Caenorhabditis elegans: one gene and its partners. The protein of the gene in region 2 purifies or fractionates together with the protein of the main gene of each other region. This does not show direct contact. Each region holds a gene or a part of one and is shown on either strand. Other genes may lie near its edges.

Evidence for each region. Proteins that work in one complex are often made in the same cells at the same time.
Region 1: the proteins of sre-33 (region 2) and F33H2.3 fractionate together in Caenorhabditis elegans (co-fractionation; one large-scale study listed by BioGRID). This does not show direct contact.
Region 3: the proteins of sre-33 (region 2) and nsun-1 fractionate together in Caenorhabditis elegans (co-fractionation; one large-scale study listed by BioGRID). This does not show direct contact.

The regions. Positions count from the first base shown.
Region 1 is NC_003279.8:15,032,778-15,035,999, reverse strand, and holds F33H2.3 (Acidic leucine-rich nuclear phosphoprotein 32-related protein 1), read right to left. Parts: upstream 1,486-3,222; 5' UTR 1,469-1,485; coding exon 872-1,468; intron 817-871; coding exon 724-816; 3' UTR 533-723; downstream 1-532. Other genes in the region: F33H2.8 (TPT domain-containing protein), read left to right, coding at 2,961-3,068, 3,171-3,222.
Region 2 is NC_003280.10:12,451,612-12,455,212, reverse strand, and holds sre-33 (Serpentine receptor class epsilon-33), read right to left. Parts: upstream 1,912-3,601; 5' UTR 1,789-1,911; coding exon 1,319-1,788; intron 1,277-1,318; coding exon 1,120-1,276; intron 1,075-1,119; coding exon 952-1,074; intron 896-951; coding exon 771-895; intron 725-770; coding exon 520-724; downstream 1-519. Other genes in the region: sre-32 (Serpentine receptor class epsilon-32), read left to right, coding at 22-229; sre-35 (Serpentine Receptor, class E (Epsilon)), read left to right, coding at 2,359-2,831, 2,877-3,033, 3,083-3,205, 3,251-3,375, 3,422-3,601.
Region 3 is NC_003280.10:470,730-477,864, reverse strand, and holds nsun-1 (26S rRNA (cytosine-C(5))-methyltransferase nsun-1), read left to right. Parts: upstream 1-1,924; 5' UTR 1,925-1,929; coding exon 1,930-2,022; exon of another isoform or gene 2,023-2,068; coding exon 2,069-2,264; exon of another isoform or gene 2,265-2,310; coding exon 2,311-2,746; exon of another isoform or gene 2,747-3,425; coding exon 3,426-3,717; exon of another isoform or gene 3,718-3,914; coding exon 3,915-4,191; exon of another isoform or gene 4,192-4,362; intron 4,363-4,581; coding exon 4,582-4,850; intron 4,851-5,590; coding exon 5,591-5,789; intron 5,790-5,999; coding exon 6,000-6,103; intron 6,104-6,266; coding exon 6,267-6,395; 3' UTR 6,396-6,603; downstream 6,604-7,135. Other genes in the region: W07E6.5 (G_PROTEIN_RECEP_F2_4 domain-containing protein), read right to left, coding at 70-139, 233-305, 355-486, 614-709, 752-788. UniProt on the Caenorhabditis elegans protein: Methyltransferase which methylates the carbon-5 position of cytosine 2982 to 5-methylcytosine (m5C2982) in 26S rRNA. May play a role in the translation of leucine and proline codons.

The DNA of each region.
Region 1 (3,222 bases), on a different chromosome or scaffold from region 2:
GTAATGTGGACTGAAAGCGCTAAACAACACGCGCGCCCGTTATTTCGGAGTCTCGTTTTTGGCAATTTTTCAAATTTCGAGTTTATTGACTTTTGAAGTTTGCGCTACACACAGGCAGAACTATTACGGGAACAATAAATTCTGAGAATCCGTATTAATAGCGTATTGCGCAACATATATGACGCGTAAAATATCTCGTAGTGAAAACTACAATAATTCTTTAAATGACTACTGTAGCTGATACTTTCGAAACAAATTGTTTTTAGGATTGTGGCAGGCGATGTTTAATTTTCCTCTAATTTTTCGTGTTTTTTGTCAATTCGATGCCTTTTTTATAGTTTTCATCAAAAAATTAGAAAATAAACAACGTAAAATCTGATCAGCGCTACAGTAGTTATTTAAAGAATTACTGTAGTTTTCGCTGCAAGATATACATATGTTGCGCAATACGCATTCTCAGAATTCAGTGTTTCAGTAATATAATATGGTATAGAATGCACACAAAAGCCACAAAAGAAAATAAAACGATAGATTAATGTTAAAGATTTTTTATTCATCAAAAAGTTGTTGCAGTGTCTGGTGGTTTGGGTTCAGTTTTTCAGATCATTAAAGTTGGGGTTTAGTGTACAGCGCAGCCATAAAGAAAATGAGGGAAGTTTTTTTGGAAAAAATATTTGAAATAAATATATTAGGTTGAGATGATGAGTCCGTAGGCGTCGAAGTTTACTCGTCGTCGCCAGCTGCCTTCTTGTTGTCTGGCTCTTCTCCGTTATCAGAAGCTCCACGTTTTGTCCCACGTGGTTCAGCGTCTCCTCCCTGAAAAATTGAAATTAAGAACATACGTTTCTGAAATATGAGTCCGAAAACTAACCTCTGGAGCATAATCGTCAGTCTCGTCGTCGGAGAACTGGCTCTTCTCGAGATAGCTGAGTCCGGGTCCATCTTCATCGCCGCTTCCCTCCTCGCTGTCTTCTCCTCCCTCACCGGCAAACTCCTCCTCAACTTCCTCTCCATCAACATCGCATCCATCAAGAATCTTCAGCGATGGAATCATCTCGAACATCTTCTCACGATAGTCCTCGAGGAGTCCGAGACTTGGATTATTCGACAAGTCGAGCTCGAAAAGATTTGGAAGAACCTTTAAGCACCGGAGATTATCCAAAGAGAGCTTGTTGCTGGCGAGTGTGATCTTCTTAAGATCTGGAGCATTTTTCACAAGAACATCAAACGAAGCGTTGTCTCCAAGCTGATTGTCACTGATATCCAAATAGGTAAGAGCTGGAAGAGTTGGGAACCCGGCGAGTGTGGTGAGTCCGCACTTCACCATGCTGAGCATCTCCAAGTTGATAAGCTGGTCGGTGAGTCCTCCGATTTGTCCATCTTCAGCGTTGTCGAGGAATAGAGTATCGACAGTAGCTGGATCCCTCTCTCTGAGCTCTTTGACGTAGATTTCGGCCATAGACGGCATGATTGAGGATGTAGTCTGAAGGTAGAGGCATTAAAATAAAGTTGAGATGTAAGAGACAAGAGAGAAAATTAAAAAATCGAACAGAAAATGGAGTTTCTTTCCGAATTGGAAACAAGTCGAATAAAAAAAGCTATTTAGACGGTCACAATCAGTATAAAAATGCTTAGTCCATTTAGAGTCCAGTTTCTTACATCACGCACGAATGACTCAAGAAACACGGATAAAATCAATGAAACGATGGTGCAGCAAATTTTGGAAGGCTATGTTAAAAATTCCAAGCGAATAGACTGATTCTATTCGCTTTATATACGATTCTATAATGACAATGAACGCGCAACGCTCAACGAACGAACAAAATCGATACACTGCCAAGAAAAAAGGCCTAAATTAGGAGGAGAGCGCGCGAAAAACAAATTTGGTTGCGCGCGCTGAGAATCAAATGCATTAGCAGTGGAGCGCGTTTGTACACCACTGACGAGGGGAACATGTGAAGGTGCTCAGAGGAATAGCATAAGAGACTTATGTCAGTCGATAGACCATGTTTAGAAACGGTGATTTGAAAATTTTTAGCGGCGAATCTTCAGAACCAAGTTCACGGCGTACGCTCAAAGAAAGCGAAAACAACAATGTAACTGCAAACACTAACAAGGGAAGTAGACGAACTCAATCTCTGATTTTGGTATGGATAATACTATTTGATCGGAAAAATACCATGTCATGTCAAAGTCTGAGATTAATTTCATCTACTTCCTTTGTAATGGGTCAATTTTCAAAATTTTCCAGATATAAGCATAAAAATTGCATCAACAGCATTAACATATTTAACAATAACATTTACCGCACTTCACATGCTTTAATCTCAAACAAAGATTTTTTTGATAAAAAACTTTCAACTCCAAACGTGTAAAGTTGATAACTTTTCCATCAAAATCCGCGGAGACATGAGTTTCCGAAGTGAATATTGATCCCTAAGTGCTACGTTACAGTGTTGTTTTAGATGTCTTTAAGAGCATGTCGTGAGCTTGATTATGGAGACTTGCAGCTAAAAGTTTACGGATAACCGTTTCTAAACATGGTTCATCAAACGGCATAAGTCTCATATGCTACTCCGCTGGGCAGGTTTAGGGGCGGATCGAGGGCGGATCGAGAGCTTCTCTGGAAAGTGAGCTGGCGAAAGGAAAAATTATAGAACATATATAGAACATATATTGAACAATATGATTATTGAATAGAAATTTGTATTTTTTTCACAAAAAAATGAGCGAAAATTGTATTTTTCTGTGTGAAAAAATACATAAAGTGAACTAATTGGGATCAATCAAATTAAAACTAAATCTTCTATGCGTTTTTGAGCTTTTGTCGGATATTGTTTCCCAGATGTTTCCCAGAAAGTTCAATGACTTCACTCTGAAATCCACTCTGAAATCCATAAAACCTACTACACACCTCCGAGAATTCGATAAAATCTCATCAAGATGCCCCAAATTGTTCGATGCGCCTCTTCTCTGTGAAACGAAACGAACATATCCCTGCAGTATTCCACATAGATTTCACTGAGTTTGCTACCAAAATGTCAGCTGAGAAAAAGGAGGTTTCAAAGGTTTGATTTTTTTTAATTGTATTGATTTTCGATTTAAAAACAAGATTTTTAATCCAAAAAAATAACTCACTATTTTGCTTCAAAAAATAAAATAATTTACAGTCAGAAGCTGGTTACTACTTTCTCCTTGAACTTGCATCGGCATTTGTGCTCT
Region 2 (3,601 bases):
CCGTGACGTTATAATTTCCAGAAATCCCTACCCAATATGCTTCACCGCAATGCTCACAATTCCACACTGGCGGAAGCACTTCCAAAACGCGTGTTTCACCTGGCGGCTCGTGAAGTCCGCGTGGACAAAACCGAAGACGTCTACGACTTCTGTGGAGATTTCTACTACGAAAAAGTTGGAAGCGGAGACGGATTTGTACTTCAGACAGCTTAATGAATCATGGATATGAAACTTTTTTTTATTTGAATACAATAATTTTGCTCATGCTTGTTTTATTTGTAATGTAAGTGCGCTCCATTGAACATGTGGACTTCGATATTTTTGCTCTTCAAAAAATGCGGAAGTTGAGAAGCAGACATCTCATCTGATTTTGCATGGTTAAGAGCGTGCTGACGTCACAATTTTTCTGGAAAAATATTCCCGCATTTTTTGTAGATCAAGCTGTAATGCGGCAGCCTGACACCACGTGTATTTATTAATTCTTCAAAAATACAAATGTTCCAACAAAAAAAAAATAATTCAAATCCAAGAATTCGCCAATTGCTTAAAATATAAATTAGTCTCCACATCGTTCTTCTTTTTCGCACACTCCTCAATTTCCACGACAATATGCACAGGTTTTCGTCTATTTCTGAACAACCGTACCGTCAAAAATGACTTCATAAATTGCTCTTTCCACTGCGGAATGCTCAACATTGCGGTTAAGCCAATGAGAAATGGGTTTCTAAAAATAGTAAATTAAGTTGGGGAGCTTCAAGATCACAGCTCACAAAAAGAGCACATTTTCGATGAGATGGCAATAGTAGGACGGTACAATTTTGTAGTGGAGCGCCGCGATTCCACACCCACAAATTCCGATAAAAGATAGGACGGCAAAGACCAAGCGGGTACCAAGCTGGAAATTTAGAAATTTCAAAATTTGATTGTGCAGGATGACACCCGTCAACTCACATGTAACACTCTTAGATTCTCCTTGACTTGAAACTGCTGGGAAAGTGTGAAAATTCGCTTCCTACCCGGATTCTTAATCTCCCGTCGGAACGATTCATTGACTTTTTTCACGAACACATATGCCTGAACAAGTTTCATGTTGGAAAATTTTTCTAAAATCTTGCTCACAGCCACTGAAATCGGGCAGCTTATCATCCAGGGGAAATGAGCAGAAAGTGGTCCGACCTTTTGAAACAGAAGACCAAAAGCCATGGAGATTGATAAAAATTGGCTGATAATAAGGAGAATTGCTGGCATTAGGTTTTGGGTGTTGGATTCATAGTTTCTGAAAAACTTAATGAACGTCCTCCAATGTCTCTCGACTTACTCTATTAACACTGAAGCAATCACCCGCTCTACCGCAACTGTAAGCACACCAAAAATCCAAGAATACATATAATGCCACTGCAGAAATCCACCAAAAATCAATAGTTCCAAGCCGTTCAGTGACGCCACCAATAAAACTTTTCCGGGATCATTCGTCCAGATCGCGGTGTGCTCGCCGAGCTCAAAGTCTAGGCCCAGAAGTTTCAGCCGATAGGCTATAGTGATAAACTTCCCAATGATAAGCTCATACCACATGCCAAACATGGGAAGCGCCAAAATATAGAGGTTACGGTGAAACAGACGAATTTTCAGAGCAACATGGAGGCTCACGTTTACCAGGTGAATGCAGACAAGGTAGATCATAAGTTCCAGTATTGATATGATAACTTGTTGATCTAACGGCTCAACGTAAAAGAATACTGGAAGCCATATAGATGAGAAAATGGTTGATGAATTAGAATTTATTATCATGATAAAAAGAGCTAGCTCAACACATAAGTTGTACTAAAACTGAAATCAATATAAGCAAATGTCTAAAGCACCTGTCGATCAGTTTTCGGCGCCAGGATCATGTCGCTGAATCAGAAGCAAAGTGAAGTTGTTCTTGGAAGCACCCCTTGAACTCCGCAGGTAAATCTTGCTTCGGAAAAACTTGAATTTTTCAAATTATAATAATTTGTTTCCCGTAATTTTTTTTTTCAAGAATTTCCAACTTCACCAATGTCGGCCGAATCCAATAACCTCCGTTAATTGCCCGTTTACGGCCAGTTCTTCTCCACTAAATTTTCAGACCTTGTCAGAATTCCAATTAGTATAAACTTATCTAGATTTTTGCCTTCCTTTCATGTTTTCAATTTTTAATTCTGTTTCCGTCCAAATAAACTGAATCGTTCTCAGTTGCTTCAGCGTTAAAAGCCAACTATTTCAGCTGCACATGCGTAAGCAAACCGTAACCTTAGACGAATAAGAGCAGGTGATTTATTGCATCTGAACTAAGACTTTTTCCTAATTTTTCTTCGATTTGCTCTCCTTCCGTCTGCAATGATCATCAGATACATTGCAAATTCAACAAGTTCTTCCTTATACTGGTTACCCATCTATTTCTACGATGAGCCTTTTAATCAGCAAGTGATAATCTCAATTGTTGAAATAGCTCTCTACATTTTGTGCAGCCAAGCTGTCAATGCATACGTACATGTTACGCTGAAAATTCGCCTTTTTCACAGAAACCTTTACATTTTGTCAATCCCGGTTTTCTTTCTCTGGTATGTACTAATCGCCGGTAAACTTATCATAATTGCCTATCGGCTGGACTTTCTAAAAATTGATATTCCGATTGGAGAGCACACGGACATCTGGACAGATGATATTGGAAAAATGCTCAATGTCAATAATTTGAATGGACTTGAGCTTATTCTGCTTTCAGGATTTCTTCAATGGTATTACATGTATTCCTTTATTTTTGTGGTGTTGGCAATGGTGGTGGAACGGACAATTGCTTCGGTTTTGATAGAGTAAGTAGCGGGGCGTCAGGAATTGCCAGGAACAATTTTTTGCAGTAACTATGAGTCTAACACTCGACTGTTAATTCCCGCAATTCTAGTCGTCACAAGTCAATTCCTATCGGTGTCTGTATCTTTTGCGCTACTCTTCCACAAAATTCACCCTTGCGACGCTCAACTTCCATGGATTATTAGTTGTGTCCTGTCTTTGATGGTTGGTTTTTTTAAAGAGTTTTTACAATAACTTGACATTTTCTTTTTAGGCGTGTGTCTTCCTAAAACTGTTGAACGAATCCTTCCAGCGGGAAATCAAGAACCCGGTTAGAAAACGACATTTCACAATTTCCCAGCAATTTCAAGTTAAGGAGAATTTAAGGGCAATTCGAGTAACCTATATGCTTGAGTCTAAACGATAAGAAAATAAATTTCAGCTTGGCTACCGTCTTGTGATAACTGTGCTCAGTTGCATTGCTCTCTATGGCATTGGAATCGCTGCTCTCAACTATGAAATCATTCCCCCAATTTTTTGTCATTTTGTTGAAAATCTACTATTTTTGTGAGTTTTTTTTATAATCGTTAGTTTATGAACTGAGTGTTTCCAGAAATCCGCTACCTATCGGACTGACTGCAATATTATTCGTTCCGCAGTGGAGGAAACAATTTGTAAAGTCATATTTGAGCTTCAACTGCCTGAAATTTAACCAACAAATTCTGCCTATGGAAACTGTAGAATGCCAGAGGAAGAAATTGGATATAGAAACAGATTTATATTTCAAGCAACT
Region 3 (7,135 bases), about 12 Mb from region 2:
AGAATGAGCATGAAAACGCACTTTATTCACATACATTTCAATACAAAAAATACATTTCTTTTTAAAATTCTAGTTCAATTCAATGGCAGGTGGGGCAGTCTGATTTTGTGTGGGATTTGATGGTACGTTAGAAATCAATCTGAAATGTAAAAAATAAGAGTTTGGCTTTCGCAGTCCATATTCTTTGAATATGAAGAATTTCTTAAACTGTTACAAATGAAAAATGACTTACATTACTTTATTGAGCGAGTTTTTTAAGAAACCGAATCGGACAACGGAGAATTGTAACGAAAACGCGAGTTGGGCTGAAGAAGAAATTTTGTTGTATTTTTCATGAAAAATATATCAACATACGAGACACGATTGTACTAACGTGTACATATATTCCGAGAAAAGAAGGTGCCCATAGAAATAACGCGCAAACAATCCACAAAATGAGAAGAACCCATAATTCACTGTTTGAATAATGTTTTGGAGAATGACATTCTGAAAATTTTGAGATAGCTATCCTAAGTAACATCGCAAAACTGGTCAAAAGGTTATAATCTGCGGAATATAGGTAATAGTTTTCCTCATTGTATTTCTTGGTCAAAATAAGTAACTAGAAACTAACTCAGCGAGAAAAACGATGTCGACGCAACAAAAGAGAATATTGAGAGTGAGCAGAAATTGAACACCCTTTTCTGGTAATCATCCCATTTCGGTTCTCCTGCAAAATAGCTTAAAATACAGTTTTAACTTTAATTTTTACCTTTTATCAGCGTGACGGAAGCTAATAAAATTAACATCCACGGAATGAATGCGAGTTCCAGCGAAAACTTTTTCACAAATTGAGCAGCAACTCTAAAAATTATATTTCCAAAAATAGAGCAGAAAATTGCAGATTTTTAAAATTTAGAAATAAATTCCAATTGTACTCGTTTCACTCACTTTTGTTTTAATAATTGGTGCGTTAGCTTCAGCTTTTTTTTCTTTTTAATACAGGCGGTATAGCGAAGATAACAGGAAGACCGCCACTATGGTCGTAACAATAATTGTCCCTGCAGCAACAATTTTCAATCTGAACAACCAATCCTTGATAAGCAGTCCCCAAACTAATTCGTCTTTCAATGTCTTTGCATCCTCTGTACAAATTACTGAAATAGCCAGAACACAGAGAAGGAGTTGGCTTAGATATCCAAACAAGGCTAGAACAGAAGCAATTGCCAGTTTGAATGCCTCGACTCTGAAATATTACAATAAAATAATTTACTATTCGGGCGTTGTTTCTCGAATCGCAAAAATGTTTGACGCTTGGCAACGACGGACATTGCCAAACGCTGATATTTTTGGCAATTGTCAAAATTGCCGAGCATAAAGTTAATTGACATATATTCACACTCTTTTTCTTTCAAAAACTTCCCTACCAATACATTTTGGCATGTCAGCGTTGTTCGAGCTCCAAATACGTGTTATATTGTTAACGCATATTTTTTGACTTCTGTAACTGTGGATTCTGCATTTCCTGCATCTGTTTTGGCTATTGTCGGCGCTGTTTCTTCTTTAGTCACGACGAGTGGCAATTCCTTCTTCGACGTGAAGCCGCCATCAGCCTTTGAGGCATCAGCCAGAGTTCGCGGTCTAGAAACCCCCACACGGCCATCGTCGGCAAGCGCGCTCTACCGCACGCCTGTGCAATTTTCAATGCAATTTCTTTCGAATTTAGGCGATCGATTTTTCGGCTTTTCCGTTGCTTTTCGTCAGTTTTTTGTGGTGTTTTATTTTGAAAATATGTGAAAAATTAAATTTTGAAGTTAAAACTTGCATAAAACCAGTAAAACATTGTAAAAATCAGTCTCAAGCGGAGGAATTGGGGTTTTCACTTTTCTCGCCATTCTGTCACTATTTTCTGCGTTTTTTTCAAACTTTAAGAAGTATTTTTCAGGTAAAATGGCAATTGTCAAGAAGAAGAAGGTGTCCGCTGCCTCAAAAGCTGCTACAGAGAAGCCAGAAGTTAAGAAAGCCGTTAAAAGACCTGTTGCAGTGAGTTTTTGCACTAAACATTCACGACGAAGCTCCAATTTTTTAGGAAACCGAGGCAGTGACTCCAAAGAAGAAGAAGCTAGTGAAAAAGGTGAAGAAATCGGCGAAAAAGGCTCATGAGGAGGAACCAATCGAGCAGGTCGAGAAGCTGCAGCTTATCGACGATGACGAGGACGGCCTGGAAGGTCTCAGCTTCCCAGGAAGTGACGATGAAGATCTCAGAGATGACTATTCCGATGATGGTATGGGGGAACATCTGAAAACCCTGAAATTAAAATTTTTTTCCAGATTCCGACGCCGGAGATCATCTGCCAATCGAGAAAAAATCCGCGGCTCTCGACAAGCAGAAGGAGAAGATTATCGCTGAAGGAGAGGAAGAGTTGCAGCTAAACATCGCAAATCAAGCGACTTTCGAGCTTCCAACCGTCGAGGAGATTGAAAATGAGATGAAATCCGTGCCAAACTTGGAAATTGTGAAGCAGCGTATTGCCGACGTCATCCAGGTTCTTGGAGACTTCAAGAATCGCCGAGATCCACAGAAATCGCGTGAAAACTATGTAGAAGTGCTGAAGAAGGATCTATGCTCACAGTATGGATACAATGACTATTTAATGGGAAAATTCATGGATTTATTCCCAAATGGAGCGGAGCTATTGGAGTTTTTGGAGGCTAACGACAATCCGAGACCAGTAACCATTAGAGCCAACTCGCTCAAGGTTAAACGGTAAAATTTGGAGGTTTTTGGATTTCTCGGCATAAATAGTCACATAAAATTGAAGTTTTGGACATAAAAAATAATGCAAAGCTATTCAATTTTGAAGATTTTCAGCTAAAAATTATTTTCCGCGATTTTCAACTGGAAAGTGATAAAATTTCCATGTCCTCATCTTGAAAAATAGTATTGATCAGATTGGGTCTGCTAGACTACAAACTACAAATTTCGATTTAGCAGACCCAAGTGATTTTGAATAAATTGGGTCTGCTAGACTACAAACTACAAATTTCGATTTAGCAGACCCACGTGATTGTGAATAGATTGGGTCTGCTAGACTACAAACTACAAATTCCGATTTAGCAGACCCACGTGATTTTGAATAGATTGGGTCTGAAATTCGGTCTGTTAGACTAATTTAGACTTAAAAGTGCTGATTTTTCACGAATTTCAACTCAAAATTGCCCACTGTCTTTAGTTCTGATCTAAAACAGCTCATTTTCCATAATTTTGGTCCCAAAATCGCCAGTTTTCACTATTGTATTATTTAAAATCGTTTAATTTCTACTCATTTGGACTAAAAACTGGTCTTTTTTATTACTTTTGAACTAAAAATTACTCGTTTTTCACCAATTTGTTGTCAAAATCGCTCAATTTTCATATTTTTAAGCTAACAATTTCCATTTTTCAGTCGTGACCTCGCTAAGAACCTCATCAACCGTGGAATGAACGTGGATCCAGCCGCCGATTGGACTAAAGTTGGACTCGTTGTCTATGATTCTCAGGTCCCAGTTGGAGCAACTCCCGAATACTTGGCCGGACATTATATGATTCAAGGACTCAATTCACTGCTGCCAGTGATGGCCTTGGCTCCACAACCAGGAGATCGTGTATTGGATATGTGTTCTGCTCCTGGAGGAAAAACCAGTCATATTGCTGCTCTTATGAAGAATAGCGGAGTTTTGTTCGCTAACGACGCGAATGTACGTGAAAAATTGATGAAAATAGATAAGGCTGAAATATTACAATTTTCAATCTAAAAAGTAGAAAATTTGACATTTTCGAACGAAAAACTATCAAAAGTTGCCTGGTTTTCATTGGGAAATTCCTAAAAATTCAATTTTCATCCGAAAAAAATTGATTTTTCATCAAAAATCTCCCGAAAACTTTATTTTTCCAGTTCACCCGTTGCCGTGCTATCATTGGAAATCTCCATCGCCTCGGAGTCAACAATACCGTCGTTTGTAATCTGGGAGGAGAAGAGTTCTCGAAAATCCGTCCGAATGGTTTTGATCGTATTCTTTTGGATGCACCATGCTCTGGAACTGGAGTTATTTGGAAGGATCAATCGGTTAAAACATCCAAAGATTCACAGGATGTTCAGAGACGTCATACTATGCAAAGACAGCTGATTCTCTCTGCTTTGGACTCGTTGGACGCTAATTCTCCGAATGGAGGTGCGGAAATTTGCAAAAATCACGAAAATAGGACCCAGAATAGCGAAAAAGCGTCCAAGATTGAAATTGTTTTTCTAAAAGCCACATTTTTTCTCTAGAAACCGAGAAATTCTCAATTTTTGCACTAAAAACTATTTCAATGTGCAATTTCTCCTGAAAATGATAAAATTGCGGGAAAATCTACAGAACAAAAACTATAAAAATCGGCTCTGGAATAGCGAAATAACGTTGAAATCGAACATTTCTTGATTTTTGCACTAAACTTATCGAATTTTTCAATGTTTTTGTGATTTATATTTTAAAAACTGAAAAATCGCTCTCAAAGAGCATAATTTTGCTCCGAAAATATTGAAAACCCCCGTTTTTCCAATTTTAAATCTAATTTTCCAGGATATCTCGTGTACTCCACGTGCTCTGTACTCGTCGAGGAAAACGAAGCCGTCGTCAATTTCCTTCTGGAACGTCGTCACTGTGAACTTGTTCCAACTGGATTATCGATTGGTGTGGATGGATATACACGATTCCGTGATTATCGTTTCCATCCGTCACTTTCAATGACTAAACGCTATTATCCACATGTTCATAATATTGATGGATTCTACGTGGCAAAGATCAAGAAGTTGTCTAATGCGAAAATGAGCAAGCAGGGTGTCATGGAGGTAAAAAAATGCGGAGAAAATTGGAAAAATTGACGGAAAATCCATTAAAAATGAAGAAAATCCCGAAAAAACTACCAAAAATTGGTCTGCTAGACTACAAACTACAAGTTTTGGTTTAGCAGACCCAAAGTTTTTGGTCTGCTAGACTACAAACTACAAGTTTTGGTTTAGCAGACCCAAAGTTTTTGGTCTGCTAGACTACAAACTACAAATTTCGATTTAGCAGACCAAAGTGGTTTTGATGAAATTTGGTCCGCAAGACTAATTTAAGCTTAAAATTTCTCAATTTTTACAAATTTCAACTCAAAATTGCCCATTTTCCAGAATTCCTAATCGAAAATAGCTTATTTTCCACTATTTTTGTCTCAAAATCGTCAAATTTCACGATTTTGATGTAAAATTACCACTTTTTCTCCAATTTTTGATCAAAATCGCTCAATTTTCATGAATTTACTGTTAAAATGTCCCATTTCTCAGCCCTAAACTCAATTTTTCTGCGTTTTTTTTTTTCATCGAAACTATCGAAAATTTAACCTTTTTACATTAGAAAAGCTGAAAAATTTACAATTTTCGTGTGGAAAAATCACTAAAAATTAATTAAATCCTGAATTTTAACAAATTTTATCAGAAAATGAATTATTTTGATGTAAGAATCTTCTTAAATCACGGAGCTTCGACAAAATTCTGTGTTTTCGTGAAATTTCCAAGATATTAGCCCCTAATTTATGTCAGTTTTTCAGAAAGAAAAGGAAAAGGCCGCCCAAAAATCGCAGAACAAGAAGAATAAGGCTGAAGCTGAGGCTTCTGAGTCTTCAGATGATGAAGAGGAGAAGAAGAATGGTGTAGAGGTTAATGGACAGAAGAAGCCAGCGAAAAAGCAGCAGCAAAAGAAGCAAAAAGCCGATGGTGATGACTCGGATGATGATAATAATGCTCCAAGTGCGTAGAAATTTGAGGAAATTAGCTGAAAATCTGCTTTTTTTGAGCCAAAATTATGAAAAACTGAAGAAAATTTACCAGAAATTGCTAATATTTTAAATCAGAAGCTAAAAATAACTCAAAATTATATTTTCCAATGTTTTTACTGGAAAAAATGGAAAAAATAGCAATTTTCTTACTTAAAAACCATCAAAATCCTCCATTTTTCAGTGAAAAACATTGGCTCCGGAGCTCGTGCGAACAAGAAGCGTCGTAATCAGAAGAAGGCAGCCGAGAAGCAGGCCGCTGTCAAGGAGGATGACGGTTTCAATACGGTACGGACTAGATTTCAGAAAAATCAGTTTTTGAGGCTTTTTTCAGCCGAAAAAACCCAAAAATTCGTAGATTTTACTTTTAAAATCCTAAATTCGAGCCATTTTCTCACTGAAAAGCTTTAAAAAATGCCAAATTTCCATATAAAAATATTATTTTTTGCAGGTTGGAAACGTGAAACGCGCCAAAAAACCGACCCAATTCAAGTCAAAAGTGCCAAAACGTGCGGCCGCCCGTACCGGAGCAAAATCGGTGAAAAATCGTCGAAAGAAGATGTTGGCCAAGCAACAATAGGCTCATTTTCCTCAAAATTTGGCTTTTTTTTTTAATTTTTCGACGAAAAATATCCAAATTCGCCTGAAATTCACCAATTTTTCGTTGATTTTATTCTATTTTTTGCCCCTTTTTTGTTGTTTTTACATTGTTTTTCGTTATTTTTTTTGTTCCAATTATTCCCATCATTGTTAAACTTTTTTATATATCCGTCGTTTTTATTCCAAAAAAAAAATAATTTTTTTGATTTTTTTTTTTGCTTTGAAATTTGAGCTTTTCATTGGTTTTTAAGCCTGAATTTTATTTTTTTTTTTTGTAAAAATTTGCTGGAAACTGGCAAATTCTCATTTCAGGGAAAAAAATCGGAAAAATTGACTTTTTCAAACCGAAAACGCGAATTTTTCTGTTTCAAAACTCATTTCAATCCGGTTAACGGCAAAAAATTATGTGCAAAAGCTGAAAATTTGCCGTTTTTGCACAGAAAATCCAAATTTTGCTCTTTTCAATCTCAAAAAACATTAAAAATTTCAAAAACAATCAGTTTTTGACCAAATTTCCACGATTTTCAGTCTCTGAAATCTCAAAATTCACGTTTTCTTCACTAAAAATCCGCTAAAATCGCCTAAATTTCAGTAAAAATGGTACTGGTTCGTGACGAAAATTTTTCTGGAAACCGGCAAATTCTTATTTTTGGAGAAACATTATCTGAAAAATGGACATTTTTAACCTAAAAAGCGAATTTTTCTGTTTCAAAACTCATT